2 linked regions of the Pelodiscus sinensis genome follow. The protein of the gene in region 1 purifies or fractionates together with the protein of each later gene. This does not show direct contact. Links are inferred from orthologs where the notes say so. Each region holds a gene or a part of one and is shown in the gene's direction. Other genes may lie near its edges.

Region 1 (7,263 bases):
TCTCAAGCAACATTTTCTTACCTTACCTAGTATCTGTAAATTCTGAATGTTATTGATGGAAATATTTCTGTCAGAGTCTCTGAAAGTGTTATTTACTAATTAAAGAAAACTAATCTTTCCTAGCCTAATTATTAGCATTCCTTGAACTGTGTCTTTTGTCTTATATTTAGACTGTAAGCTCTTTAGAGGGAAAAATGGCTTTTTGTTCTATTTATGCAGAGATATTTTGGCCTTGGAAAGGGTTCAGAAAAGGGCAACTAAAATGATTAGGGGTTTGGAACGGGTCCCATATGAGGAGAGGTTAAAGCGACTGGGACTTTTCAGTTTAGAAAAGAAGAGACTGAGGGGAGATATGATAGAGGTATATAAAATCATGAGTGGTGGGGAGAGGGCCGATAAAGAAAAGTTATTTATTAGCTCCCTAAATAGAAGAACTAGAGGACACCAAATGAAATTAATGGGGAGCAGGTTTAAAACTAATAAAAGAAAGTTCTTCTTCACACAGCGTGTAGTCAACCTGTGGAACTCCTTGCCAGAGGAGGCTGTGAAGGCTAGGACTATAATAGAGTTTAAAGAGAAGCTAGATAATTTCATGGAGGTTAGGTCCATAAAAGTCTATTAGGCAGGGGATAAAATGGTGTCCTTGGCCTCTGTTTGTCAGAGGCTGGAGAGGGATGGCAGGAGACAAATCGCTTGATCATTGTCTTCGGTCCACCCTCTCTGGGGCACCTGGTGCTGGCCACTGTTGGCAGGCAGGATGCTGGGCTAGACGGACCTTTGGTCTGACCCAGTACGGCCGTTCTTATGTTCTTATGAGTCTGCCACTATAGAGTTCTGGTCCTGGAGTGGTATAATATAAATAATAGTTCTAAAGCACCAGTGTAAGAAAGCAGTTTGTAGAAGGGGAGGGATAAAGATCTGTTTTAAACCCCTTTTAAAAATACATTGTGAGTCAATTAACCTTCCAAAAGGATAGAGTGAAACGATATAGTAGTACAAGGTACTGATCCTTCCACTCGCTTTGCAGACCCCAGAGAAGGCAGCGGGACTCATATGGGCACTGGGGTCTGATCACACAGAGCCAGTTGCAGGACTGAATCCCAGTTTTGTTTAGTTTACTGTGGTGTCCAACACACTAGCGGCTATTTGGCTTGTATAATGTGGCTATTTGGCATATTGAGTGTGGCTAGTTTGCTACAGCAGTAGTCACTATAGTGGTTACTGCTTCAGAACTGGTTGGACACCAGGGGTCCAGTATTTATAGCGCAAGACTGGGCAGCCAGGACTATTGGTTTCTATGGCTAGTATGACCTTGAACAAGTGACAACCTCTGCATCTCAGTTTATGCATCTGTAAAACAGAGGTGTTAACAATAATATTTAGCTTTCACTAAGCATTCTAAATCTCCTGAACTCTGGACACACTAACTAATTAATGCAGTGAGGCTTCCTTAATGCTTGGAAAGTCGTTTAAAATCCCCAAATAGTCACAGGCTTGCTGTGCCAGGTATCATTTGACAAATCCTTGGGTGGGGACAGGAGGACCCAGAAATCTCTTACCTTTGTTCTAAACGATGGTAACAGCTGTATGAAAAGTGTCACAACTTAAGGAAACCAAGGACTTGCCTCTCCGAAGCTGGGACACTTGGCATGCACCGGCCTTGCAACACCAACAGCTGATGCCTCCAATTATGGAAGGCTCCCTTCGAGGGAAAGGGGGGAGCCATTCATCTTTCTCCACCCCTCGCCCAGAAACGTGGGTGACGTTTGGGAGGGAGGAAGCTTTGTGGGGGAGCACCCATTCGTCTCCCTCCCCCTTCGGAAAGACGGGGGTGGGAGTGTGGCAAGAGGAGGAGCCAGGCGGTTTCACCTGCTTGTCCCCTTCTCAGAAAGGGCCTGGCTGTTGTTGCGGGGGGGACGCGGCGGCAGTGAGCTTGCTCCAGAAGGGCGGCTGAGGGGGGAGCCCAGTAGCGGGGTCGCTCCCCCCGCCAGGGACTCCGCTCGCCCCTGCCCCGGCGCGGCAGGAAGAGGAGGCAGGAGAAAGGGGAAGAGGCTCGAGGCCGGGCCGGGGAGGGAGGAGCGGTCCCGGGGGGGAGGCGGCAGACGCACAAGATGGCCCCTGCTGCAGAGGCGGCAGCAGCAGCGGGTCGTGGGGAGGAGGCGGCGGCGGCCGGGCGGCCCCTGCTGCTGCCGGCGCTGGAGGCTGCGGCCAGCCCCGCGTCCCGGAGCTGAAAGTCGCTGCTGCGGGGAGCTCAGCCGTGCGGTGAGTCCGGGCCCCGCGCTCGGCGGCGGGGAACAATGGGGCGGAGGGGGCCTGGCCCGGCGGGGCCGCGGGCTGGCTCGGGGCGCTCCGGCCTGTGTCCCTGCCTCGCTAGGCCTCAGGCTCCGTTTCCGAAGTGCCCCGTCTCCGAGGCGCGGTGGAGCGGGGCGCCGGAAGGGGGAGGCTTCCGTGGCCTCGGGAAGGGGGTGGGAGTCCCAGGGGCTCGGGCCCCTTTGGGGTGGGGGCAGCGGGTGCCTCTTCGGGGGGGAGAGTGAGGCCTGAGGGAGACTCTATCCCCCGCTCCTGCTGATGAGGCGGGGCAAGCCTCGCCGAGCAGATGGGAAGTTGGGGTCCCTGCCCTCGAGGGGGTTCCGCCTCCACACGCTGTGGATTTGCAGAGCAGATGTGGCACACGTCGGAGGCTTTGTTTCAGACCTGTATAGACACACACAGGCCCCCTCTCTCTCTGCCTCCCCCCGGCCCTGGCTCACCCCGTTTGGGCGCCTCTCAAAGTTGTAGGGGACATTCAGGGTGAGCTGCCCCGCGTTTTCTGTGCGGGCCTGGACATTGACAGGCATCGGGGAAGTGGAAGCCTAAAAAGAGCGACCGAACTTGAAAGTGTTTTTGTCTTTGTTTCTCACTGAGTTAAAAGATGGGGCAAGGATTTCCTGCCAGGAAACAGAGCTCTGAGTAGCTACCCTTCTGTATTGGTTGGGGGGAATACCCAGAAATGATGTTTTGTCTTCAGGGGCCATATTGAGTGAGATCTGTGCCATTTTGAGAGCCCACAGATAGGAAAACTGATATTTCTTGTGTAAAATGGTATTTCATTAAATCATTCTCCTGCCCCCCCCCCCCCCCCCCACACACACACACATACACTTCTTTCTCCTGAGCTGTTGTTTTAAAACTTGTGTTGTTTCTCATTATGGAAAAATTGTATTGGTGACATTTTATCAACTAGAAAGGAGCTTTCAGTATTCTGATAAACTGAAAATTGGCCAAACTATTAAACTCATTTTTGCAATTTATGTTAAAAAAGTTGGTTCACTCCTGTCCATGACAGTGCTACTTTTTCACCACTAAGTCTTCTAGTGACTCCTCTTTGATCACTGTATTGTAAAATGACAGTTGGATTATTTCTACATTTATACTATAGTGATGCCTAGTATCTGTGGTATGTAGAAGTATTACCTTTTTCCACTAAACTTTTTTTCTCCTCTTCAGACATCGATTTATTTTATTTTAGGCCCTCCTGCCCATTCTTATGTACTACTTAATATTTTCACTGGTATCTACTTAATTGTTTCACTGACCTCATTGAGACACACACACACACACACATGAATACACTTTTTGCACATGCTTGAGTGCTGGCAGGACTGCGGTCCACTTCTTTGTCACATAGAGAAATTGGCATAAAAATTGTCAATCCATAAACGTGGTAGTTTACATCAATAATTGAGGTGAACATATAGTTTCTATTAAAGTTAATAAGAGCTGGGTGCACCAAAGGGAATTTCCTGAAATTTTCAGCCTATTATTCCTGCCCTGCAAAGGGCTCCTGCAGAGCAGATGCTTTAAGCTGGCTATTTTGAGGGACACTTGCACTTGTTTGATAGTTTCTGATTTCCATGGCTGTCCATAAAACACCTTTGAGCAGCATTAACAATCATGGAGACAAGGAGGAAATCGCTTGGTTTTTCTACCAAAAAACACTTAATTTAAAACAAGATACTATATTTTTGGTTTGACATTGGTCTGAACTGATGTCTGTTCCATGAAACAAAGGGGAGATCTGCATGTAAAATATTGCATTGGCGTTAGGGATGTTAAATTTGATTAATTAGCTAATTGAGTAGTCGATGGAATTTCCACTGACTACTTGATTTGTCAATAAGGGGGATGCTCTCTTATCTTTTTGTGCCTCTCCCTTTGAAATGTACAAGAACCACAGCGGCTTATGTACATTTAAAAGGGAAAGGTCCCCGGCTGGTGAGGGTTCCCTTCCGTGCCTCTTCCTTTGAAGTGTACAAGAGCTGGATGCAGCTCTTGTATATTTCAAAGGGAGAGAATCAGCAGTCAGACTGTACATGGGACTATTTCAATTCCTGCTCAGGCTGTTTCCCGGATGCCCTCTGCCTCCCCTGCCCCCTGTGGAGATGGTGCGTGGGGAACCATTTTTAAGCTGGCTCCCCCCGGAACGGGCACGTGCTTTCCTTCCCCTCCCTGCTGCCTCTCACTGATAGAGGCAGCAAGAGTGGGGGGAGCAACTAATCGAGTTCCTACTCGATAAGCATTTGCTTATCGGGTGGTTGACTAGTCACTTACATCTCTAATTGGCGCAGCTGCACCAGTGTAGCATCATCTCATCAGTATGAGAAGAGCTCTCATGGACACAGCTCTGTCTACGTGGGAGTTAGGTCTCTCTAATTCTGTCACTCAGAGCTATGGATGTTTTGCACTCCTGAGCAATGTAGTTAGTGATTTAGATCTGTAGTGTAGACCTGACCATAATGATGGCTTCAGCCTGCTTCCCAAAGCGTAAGTGTCTGCATGACACTGACCAGCACCACTCTTGCTAACTGAAAGGCTTAACAGAGTTAAACGCTGAAGACATAAATTATTTAAAGATGGCAGTTTTGAACAAATGTTGCTGAGACCATTTGGAGAAGCTTGAACTCATGTTGCCTGTGACCTACCAGCTATCTAGATAAAGACTGTCACAAATGCTGGCAGTCTGGAACTCTATAGTAGTTCTGAATTCAGGAAATAGATACGTCCAAAATTTTGAATGAATTGCTTTCTTATTTATCTGAATATTTGGAAGGAATCTGAAAATGGTGGCAAGGATTGAAAATGTCACTAGTTTGGGACTTGGTATAGACATAGACTTGCCAGAATATTAGTTTCTGTAATTGTGTTTGATTTTGTTTTTAAGCACTTTCTATTTTGAATCTTTTCATTTTAACCATTGCAGAACATTAAGGGAGTTCGTGTTAGGTTTGCACTGACAGCTGGGCTGTGGTCCATCCTAAGGAGGAGGGTGGGCTCCTAACCATAGAGGAGGCCATTCCACTGATGGATGACTTTTGCTTGGGGGTGGCTCCTTTACATCTGGCTGTGAATGAGTGAGCCAGAGGTGACAGTGGGGCTGCAGAGTGTGCCCTTTGTGGCCATCAGTCTGGTGACACCAGATCCCTGCAGGTATTGGCTGTGGAGGAAGCTGTACTTGCTGACTATTATAGAGAGATATTATTTTGTTGATTTCTGTGTCAGGTGAAATAGATGTTTAACAATGGCTGATTTAAATCAAATCCTACGTATATGATACTGGACGAGTGCCCAAGAGAAGCATTGCTAGTTTAACAAATTAATGGTGGTAAGGTTCATTATCTCATGACTCACTGTTGCGAAAAAGGTGTGCTGCATTGCATGCCTTTAGAAAACTGGGAATTTTTTGTGGTTTGTCAGCCATGCATGTTGTCTTGATTATCATATTTCTTTTCCCACATGAATTCCAAAATGATTGTAATGTCTGATATCTAGAAAACAACTGACTGCAAGCCAATGCTTTAAATGTCTTAAGTGCAAAATGGAGATAATGATACTTACTACTTTTGTAAAACTCTTTATAGCGCTCTCCATCAGTAAACAGCATAAGAATTAGGTGGTATTATAATGATTATTTACAATCTTTGAAAAGTTTGGAAATGTGGGCTTCAAATGCTATGAAGAGTAGGCACTCATTTTTTAAAGATTTAAGTCTTAAAAGTTGGGCTCGCAAATATGTGGCCTGATTTTCCAAAAGTAGTAAGCACCCAAAAGCTCCCTTGCGTGTTTAACCAAACTTGTTGTTAAATCTTGACCTTTCTTTCTGATCATCACTGAAATCAATTGCACAATGAGTTCAAGTAGCTACAAAGTAGAAGAGGGAGAAATAAGAATATAATCCTTGTGGTTTTTCCCTTGCCCCACAAGGCCTCATGCGCTGCTTGGAGTTTGCTGGACAGTGTATTGAACCAGAAATTTTTTCCTCAGCTTTGCCATTGGTCACACAAATATGTTCAAATCCTGAATGGAGATGCATACATCTTGATTTTTTAATTTTTTTTTATTTTACAAAAACACTGATGTGATGGCTGGGTACATGTAAAATAATTACACGAAATTCAGCAAGTGAACTAACGTTAATCAACAACTCCTTCTGTAAAAATATTTTTAGTCTTCCGCCCTTTCAAGCCATGTTCAAGAAAAGCCTGAAAAAATAGGTAGACCTTGCAATCATCCCCTCTCAGTGGAGACAGATGACGAGGAAAGCAAATTGCATTTGTTTCTGGAACTTAATTTAATGGACTTCATTGGTACTAGTGAGGCTTCTGTAGCTTTGGTTTCTTCCAGCAGTATCAACAATGCATGCAGTTGCTGTGGATTTATGCAGTTGATGGCCTATTATACATGATATTACAAAAAGATTGACAGTTAAACATTCTTGTTGCATGAACAAAATGTTCTCCTTTAAGGGGTCCATCAGGATTTTTTCCATCCAAGGTATGTGCAACATTGCACAGTTTTTGGGTGGTCTTCATAATTTCTACTCAACTGTCAGGTATTGGCTTCTGCAAGAATGTCATGAGATGCAGGCCTGAAATAGTCTGGTAAATCCTTTTAAGACTTGTAGCTTAGTTTGTAAAATTGGTTATCCTGATGGATGGAGATGCATTGTCCAGGCTACTGTTTTCAAGAGTACTGGGGATGCAGAAAAGGCAATTGGAGTTTAGAAGCATCAGAAGAACAACTGCGGTGTATGAGCTAGTTCTGTAAGAACAGGCAATTCCTGTGCATCTGGAGAGTACTACTTACCAGGATTTTGCATGCAGAGTACATTGACCGGAGATTCATCACAGGGGTTTGGGAATTCCGTGATAGCATGCTCACTTGCTTGCATTATGCATAGCAATGAGTCATTGGAACCATTCCCAGTCACCAATGGATTCAAGAAGG
Region 2 (7,263 bases), about 43 Mb from region 1:
AGCAGATAATCTGCATACTGCAAGGTTCTTATTGTCCCCTGAAGCATGTGGTACTGACTGTTGTCAGAGGCAGGAGAGTGGACTATAGGGGCATGTCTACACAGCAAGGCAAAAGTTAAATCAAGCTATTAAACTTCAGCTATGGAGCTGATGTAGCTGAAGTTGAAATAGCTTAATTTGGCTTTTGGAACTGGCTACGCAGCAGGAAGTCGAAGGAAGAACGCTCTTCCTTCGACTTCCCTCATTTCACAAGGGCTGCATCTAGATTGGCATGATTTTCTGGAAAGGCTTTAACGGAAAAGTTTTCCATTAAAAGCACTTTCAGAACAGAGCGTCTAGATTGGCAGGGACGCTTTTCCGCAAAAAGTGCTTTTTGCGGAAAAGCGTCCGTGCCAATCTAGACGCTTTTTTGCACAAAACAAATCTGAGCTGTCTACACTGGCCCTTTTGTGCAAAAGGACTTTTGCCTGAACGGGAGCAGAATAGTATTTCCGCAAGAAGCACTGATTTCTTACAATAGGAAGTCAGTGCTTTTGTGGAAATTCAAGCGGCCAGTGTAGACAGCTGGCAAGTTTTTCCGGAAAAGCAGCTGATTTTCCGGGAAAACCTTGGCTAGCCTAGACACAGAAGGAGTAAGGGTTACAAGAGTTGGAGTAAGAAGTCCTCCAGCTCACCATTATTTCTAAATAATGGCTTGCTGTGTAAACGCACCCTTTATTTCAGAATAACGTCAGTGTAGACATACACTGCTGTGTAGATATAGCCAAGATGTACTTTGGATCTGATCCAGTCCATCAATTTCAATGTTAATACATCTTGTACAGCCTGGGTGGTATACATTTCTTTAGTGACTTTGCTGGAACATGTTTACCCTTTAATTGAGTTTGTGTGATGGGGGAATTCAAATATTCACCCAGCATTTCACATGTAGATGATCTTCTGCCTTACTTTTGGGACTATGACTAAATAATATTCGTCATGATATAAGACTCCTCTTATTGTTATCTATTTGATTTGACAATTGACATCTTAAATTCAGTACACAGCACACTACATTTGTTTCCTCCTCTTTTATACATGAAAGTCCTGACATTTGCTAATCGGTTATTTCTGTTTGTAAATGCATTTGAACAGTAAAGGATATGAGCGCTACAATGACATTTTCTCACATAGGACCACTTCTGGTTGCATGCTATGTGTTGAAGGATTTGTGCTAGGAACTTAAATAAAAATAAATTAAGCGATTTCAGACTTATAGCTATGAATCCAGACAATATATTAGATTTTTAAAATACCATATAAAAGTATCTGAACATATAAAAATATGGTCACTCATAGTTCTGTGCTTCTTGCCTTGCGATTGTCAACATAATCTTATAACGTTTTGGTACACAGGTAATTATAAGGAAATACATGAAAATTGTAAATATAGGGTGGTCAAATTGAGTAATCCTTTATATAATCCCTACAAAAGTTTGTCTCCTTTTAAAAGTAGGATTAAATGTCCTTGAAAGGATACTTGCAGAATATTTCAGAAGTGATTCTAGACTTGCAGTGGAATCCTCATGCAATGTGTGTCTACTGACCCCTTATCTGAAGGTACATACTGGGCTTGTGATGAGGTCCTTTGGGTAGGTAGCAGACATGGATATTATTATTATTATTATTTTTTTAAATCTCACTTCAGTATGAGGAACTGAAAGGTTCAACAACTATTTGGATTTTGTTTATTGCTTGTTTATTACTGAAGCACCAATGACTAAGCAATGCTAATATTAAGTGGCAGTGTCTAGACTGGCAAGTTTTTCCGCAAAAGCAATTGCTTTTGCGAAAAAACTTGCCAGCTGTCTACACTGGCCGCTTGAATTTCCACAAGAACACTGACGATCTCATGTAAGAAATCAGTGCTTCTTGCGGAAATACCATGCTGCTCCCGTTCAGGCAAAAGTCCTTTTGCACAAAAGGACCAGTGTAGACAGCTCAGATTTGTTTTGCGCAAAAAAGCCCCGATCGTGAAAATGGCAATCAGGGCTTTTTTGCGCAAAAGAGCATCTAGATTCACATGGATGCTTTTCTGCAAAAAGCGTCTTTGCAGAAAAGCGTCTGTGCCAATCTAGACACTCTTTTCCGCAAATGCTTTTAACGGAAAATCATGCCAGTCTAGACATAGCCAGTCTGTGTTTTTTGTTTTAGAGCATTTGATATTCAATAGCTTTCAAGCAACTCTGCTTTTTATATATTAAAATGTGGTATAACTTGCAAAAATGTTTTAGTTGTAGATTTGCCAACCCTGATGTTACCCTCTAAGGTAGATTTTTGTATTCATAAATTTTTTCCATTTCAACAGCTGATTCTGATACCCACTGATCAGTGGGTTACATTTTGATTATGGCTAGTGTAATGTATTATGAAAGGCCTGACTCCCACACAATGTTATAGTCCTCATCTACAGCTCAAGCTGCCAGGACTGGTTCTTTCAGCTCTGGAAATCCCTGGTTTGATAGCAGCCATCACAGTGATCTTCGTATCTTCACCCACAGTATGGTGGGTATAGTGAACAACATAGCTCAGACCATATCATTAATAGACGTGCTACATAAAATATGTAATCTGCATTTCAGACAAAGCCATATGAGCAAACAGTTGCACAGTTTAAGTAGGGGTTTATATAGGTGCAAAGCGCATTAGAGGAGTGGAGCCTTTTTATTAACATCTAAAGTATTAAAACTGATTCATTGTCCATGCAGAGATATCTGGACAATTTCTAAAAGCATAAACTGTAAAGTAAAATTAAGACAATTTATCAATTTAAATAAATGGCTTTAAAGTTAGATCTTCCTGGGGTTTTTCAGTGTTTTTCATACGTCAGCCAGGAGGAAAACAGACCCTGAAACTATCCCACAGATGCTTTCAGATCATGCCCATAGTAAAACACACCACCTTCCACCCCACCCCTCAATCATTAATCTTACTTGTTACAATGTAACAAAATACGTTGGGGGGGGAGAGAGAAATCACTAGATCCATGTGGTCTAGATACAGGCAGGGCGAGGACAGTGTCCCTTCCAGGGTAGACGGGAGCTGGCTGTAGCAAACCCCGGCTGATAAAACGTACGAGTGCCCGGGCTGCCCTATGCATGACTAGACGGGGTTGCTGAGGCCGGACACAGCGGCTGGGAACGTCCTTTAAAAGTGATGGGCACTTCGAACAACGCCAGCCCGGGCTGCAGCAGCAGAAGGGCTGGGCTCGTGCGGGGCCTTGTTTCCCCCGCAACAACCTCCTGCCCCGCTGCTGTGCGCGGGAGGGCGGCCAGCCTGGCCACGTGGGGGCCCGCCTAGGGAGCCACGGCAGCCGTGCCCTGGGGGAGGGGGAACTAGGCCTACTCGAGACAGGTGGCTGGTTCACATTCTCTCGGCTCCCTCCCCCCGCCCGCAGTGGTCTCCTCGCGCCACACACCAGCGCGCGTTCTCCTCCGGCCCAACACGGCGCTCGGCCGCGTGGCCTGCTGGGAATCGTAGTCCCGCCCCTCCAGCCGCGCGGGGCTCCCGTGGCTTGGAGGCGGCCTCCTGCTCCCGCGATGCTTTGCGCGCGGCAAAGCCCGGCTGTTCCTGGCGCCGGAAGAGAAGCGGGTCTCTTTGGGGCCGGCCATCTTGTGTGGTGTCGCGAGCAGGGGGCTGGGGCCTGGGCAGCATCGGAGGAGGATCCCGCCGAGAGGGGCCCATCATGCCCGGACACCTGCAAGAAGGGTTCGGCTGCGTCGTCACCAACCGGTTCGACCAGCTCTTTGACGACGAGTCGGACCCTTTCGAGGTGCTGCGGGCGGCCGAGAGCCGGAGGAAGGAGAGCGGCGGCGGCGGCAGCCAGGGGGGCGGCGGCGGGGCCCGCAGCGGGCAGGCGGCCCAGGCTAACTCCTCTGGCGGGGTCGGCAGCGGGGGCCCGGGCCAGACTGGGGGAGGCGGCGGCAACAGTAGCGCAGCCAAGCAGCTGCGCAGGGAGTCGCAGAAAGAGCGCAAGAACCCGCTGCCCCCCTTCGCCGCCTCGGCCGGGGGCGCCGGCGACCGCAGGGAGGAGGGCAGCGGGCAGCCCGCCGCGCCGCTCAGGAAGGAAGGTGAGTGGGGTCAGCGGGCGGCGGCGGGGACCCCGCGGCTAATACGCCGGAGCGTGGGGCACGAGACATGCGGTAGCGCGCCCGGCCCTGGTGCGGGGCGCGGGAGAATCTTGAGTTCGAGCCCCGCCTATTCCTCTCGGGGAGGGCGGCTGTGACCCCTGATGTGGGGGCTCAAGTGAGCAACCTGCAGAGAGTCCTTAACCCCCTCGGGCCTGCTGGGGTGCGCCACGGGCTGCGCGTCCCTCGAGGGAGAAGCTGCCGTCCGCGGGCTGTGACAGCCCCTCACCCCCCCACACACACGGTCTGGCCGCGGAGGCTGAACTGCGGAGTTTCTAAGAGTCTCAGCACCTGCTCGAGCCCCGCAGAGACAACACCTGGCCCTGCGGGTGGTGGGGTGAAATAGTCGCGCTCTGGGGCCGCTGCATCTACCACGTGGGGGGAAGTGAGGCCTGTCTGTCGCACATGGCTATTGCGAAGGAAGGGCTGCATCTAAGTGGGGGTGCGGGACGGATGGAAGCTGTTCTAATAATTTTAGTTGCTGGAGGTGGGTAGAGGGGCTCTGGGTGACCCAGCTATCTGGGGTTAGGAAGAAGAGTGAGGCCTGCTAATGCTTTTATATTACCCAATACTTTTGGCCCCGGTGAATTGTACAAAAAGACATTTGATGGCTGGATGACCCTGTTAAGGACGAAGGTCTGGGTGGAGTGGCAGCCCTCGAGAAGGGCTGGCGCCCTTAAAGTGTTGGGATGAAAAATTATCAGTCGAGTCTGTTTTTCCAAGGGGAGTTGCATCACTTTTTTAAAAAGCAGAGTAGTCGCCTGTGTGTGTTTAGCAAAGCTGAACTAGTTATACCTGAGCCATGTGCGTTTTCAGTATGTTGTCTATCCCCAACCCTTAACTTCGTTAAGTGCTGCCACCTTCCACTGGGTGAGAGACTCAAAATGGTATTTTTTAATTTGTGGTGCATCTGTTGTCTTAATTTTTTATGTTTGGACCCAGTTCTTGTAAGATTCATTGTTGAATTGGGGTACTCACCTAACTGATAAGAGAAGCATGAGTAAAAGAACACTTGGGAAATATGAATTTATCAGATATTAAGCTTAAATTGCATCTCCCAGGATGTGGTCCATTGAATAGTAAATTTATCAGTTTTATTCTGGATTCTTTTCAGTATTTATAGCCTTTCATATTCATTCTGGAATATTGTTTTTTCCCCCTAAGGATGACATTAATTGGGATTGTGATTAATAAAATACATTGTTTTTTCAGATGCGTAATTACTGAAGCTACACTTATTTGAGTGTATATGGTAAACCTTTTTATGGACTGTAATAAAGTTTCATTTCTCTTATGAACAAATGAAGGTATAAAAAAGTGACCAAACAAATGTCTTTGACTTACTTTTCTATGGCTTGATCCTGCAAAAACACTTGCTTAATTTATCATTCATTGACAGATGACACATTTCATCATTAGCTCTTACAATACTTTAGAAAGGAAATAATTATAATCCCTATGTTACAGATGGCAAAACTGAGGCACAGGGAGGTTCCCTAGAAAGCCAGTGATTAAGGGTTATTTATGTACACAAACTTCAGCCCATGCCTGACTGAAAGATTGTGGCCTAAATTTGTAATAGTCATGTAATTTGAGTGTTGAATGTGCTCAGTAATATTTGGATAAAGAACTATTTAGCAAGCTAATAAGAATTACAATTTAACCAAAATACAATAAACTCTTAATATTGCTAACAAGAAGAGTTAAAATAATTACAGTACTAAAGATCGATACATTGCATTTCTTTTAGAGAGAGAAAGTACACTGCAATAAGAATGGCCATACAAAAATCCATCTAGCCCAGTATTCTTTGTTCTGACAGTGGCCAATGCCAGGTGCCCTACAGCAGTGTGTGTCAAGGTTTTTTTTTTTTTTATAAAGTACCCTCCTTATAACTTTTTTTTAAGTACCCCAGTACCTAGAGATTTCAGACACACAATTTTTTTCTACCATTGCAACACATTTGTTTAAACAACTTAAATGTAGCCAGGTGAGCAATTAATTTTTTTGGTGTAAAAAGTACAAAAATAATAGTGCTGTAAAACTTAAAACAAAAATTTAGTTTTCTCCAAATTTCAGTTGTAATGATGTATTCCTCAGACTTTTCTTGAGTACCCCTAAGGGTACTCATACCACTGGTTGAGAAACACTGCCATAGAGGGAATCAGCAGAACAGGCAATTATCAAGTGATAGCTACCCTCCCTACCCACTCTCAGCTTCTAACAGGCATGAACAATAGTTAGAACAATAATGTCAGTGTTTTTTGGGGAGAGGGGGAGAAAGAGGACTTTTGGTAAGAGCAAGACTAGGTTTAACCAAATATTGGTCGCTTTAACAAAGTACTAAGTAAAGCCTTTAAGAGAAATTGAGACATTTTTTATTATCTTAATGGACCTATGAATATTTTGCACAACAAAGTTTGTAGTTGGATTTTTTTCCTGAGCAGAGGAATAACATGTTCAGAATATACCAACTGATGATTACTAATCTAATAGCTTTTTTGAAAAACCAGACAACATAAACTTTCTCTGTCTTTCTGCATGAAATACACTTTTAACTGTGGGTAATACTTCTGAGTAAAGCTACAGAGTAGTAATATTTTGACCTTTGAGATAACTATCATAAGGGCTTTTTTGTTCGTTTGTTCCAATGAACAGTTTCCAGATGGAAAGAAATAGCTTAGTATTTCAGGGTTTCGTAGTAGAAATCTAGTAGTGGTAAGTCCATTCACTAGAATGATAAAGATAAGTGAAGTTTTAAACTTTGCACATTGTAATAAGGGAAAATTCACTCAGGTGTGTGAGCATCCCTAATTTTCTGTAGAACACAAATGTTTTGTTTTAGTTTAATTAGGGATGTCAATGAGTAGCCAACTATCCGATTAACCAATAAGCTGGGGTTTATTGGTTAATATTATTGACTACTTGCATTTCCCCCCACCCATTGATACCTCTGTATCAGAGGCAGCAAGGGGGGGTGGAAACAGGAGTCAGGAAAGCTGGCTCTCCCCCCCGGCACCACAGTGCCACCTGCTCCCTCCCCTCTGAGAGGCAGCACGGAGGGTGAGGGGAGGAAGGAAGAGGAGGCTGCCTCAGA

Evidence for each region. The genes of interacting proteins can lie anywhere in the genome.
Region 2: the proteins of RC3H1 (region 1) and SERBP1 purify together in Homo sapiens (affinity purification with mass spectrometry, with the first as the bait; 3 studies listed by BioGRID). This does not show direct contact. The link is inferred for Pelodiscus sinensis from reciprocal best matches to the Homo sapiens genes RC3H1 and SERBP1.

Annotation. Positions count from the first base shown.
Region 1 is NC_134719.1:62,191,650-62,198,912, forward strand, and holds the start of RC3H1 (roquin-1), read left to right. Parts: upstream 1-2,110; 5' UTR 2,111-2,262; intron 2,263-7,263. UniProt on the Homo sapiens protein: Post-transcriptional repressor of mRNAs containing a conserved stem loop motif, called constitutive decay element (CDE), which is often located in the 3'-UTR, as in HMGXB3, ICOS, IER3, NFKBID, NFKBIZ, PPP1R10, TNF, TNFRSF4 and in many more mRNAs.
Region 2 is NC_134719.1:19,453,467-19,460,729, reverse strand, and holds the start of SERBP1 (SERPINE1 mRNA-binding protein 1), read left to right. Parts: upstream 1-3,616; 5' UTR 3,617-3,724; coding exon 3,725-4,109; intron 4,110-7,263. UniProt on the Homo sapiens protein: Ribosome-binding protein that promotes ribosome hibernation, a process during which ribosomes are stabilized in an inactive state and preserved from proteasomal degradation.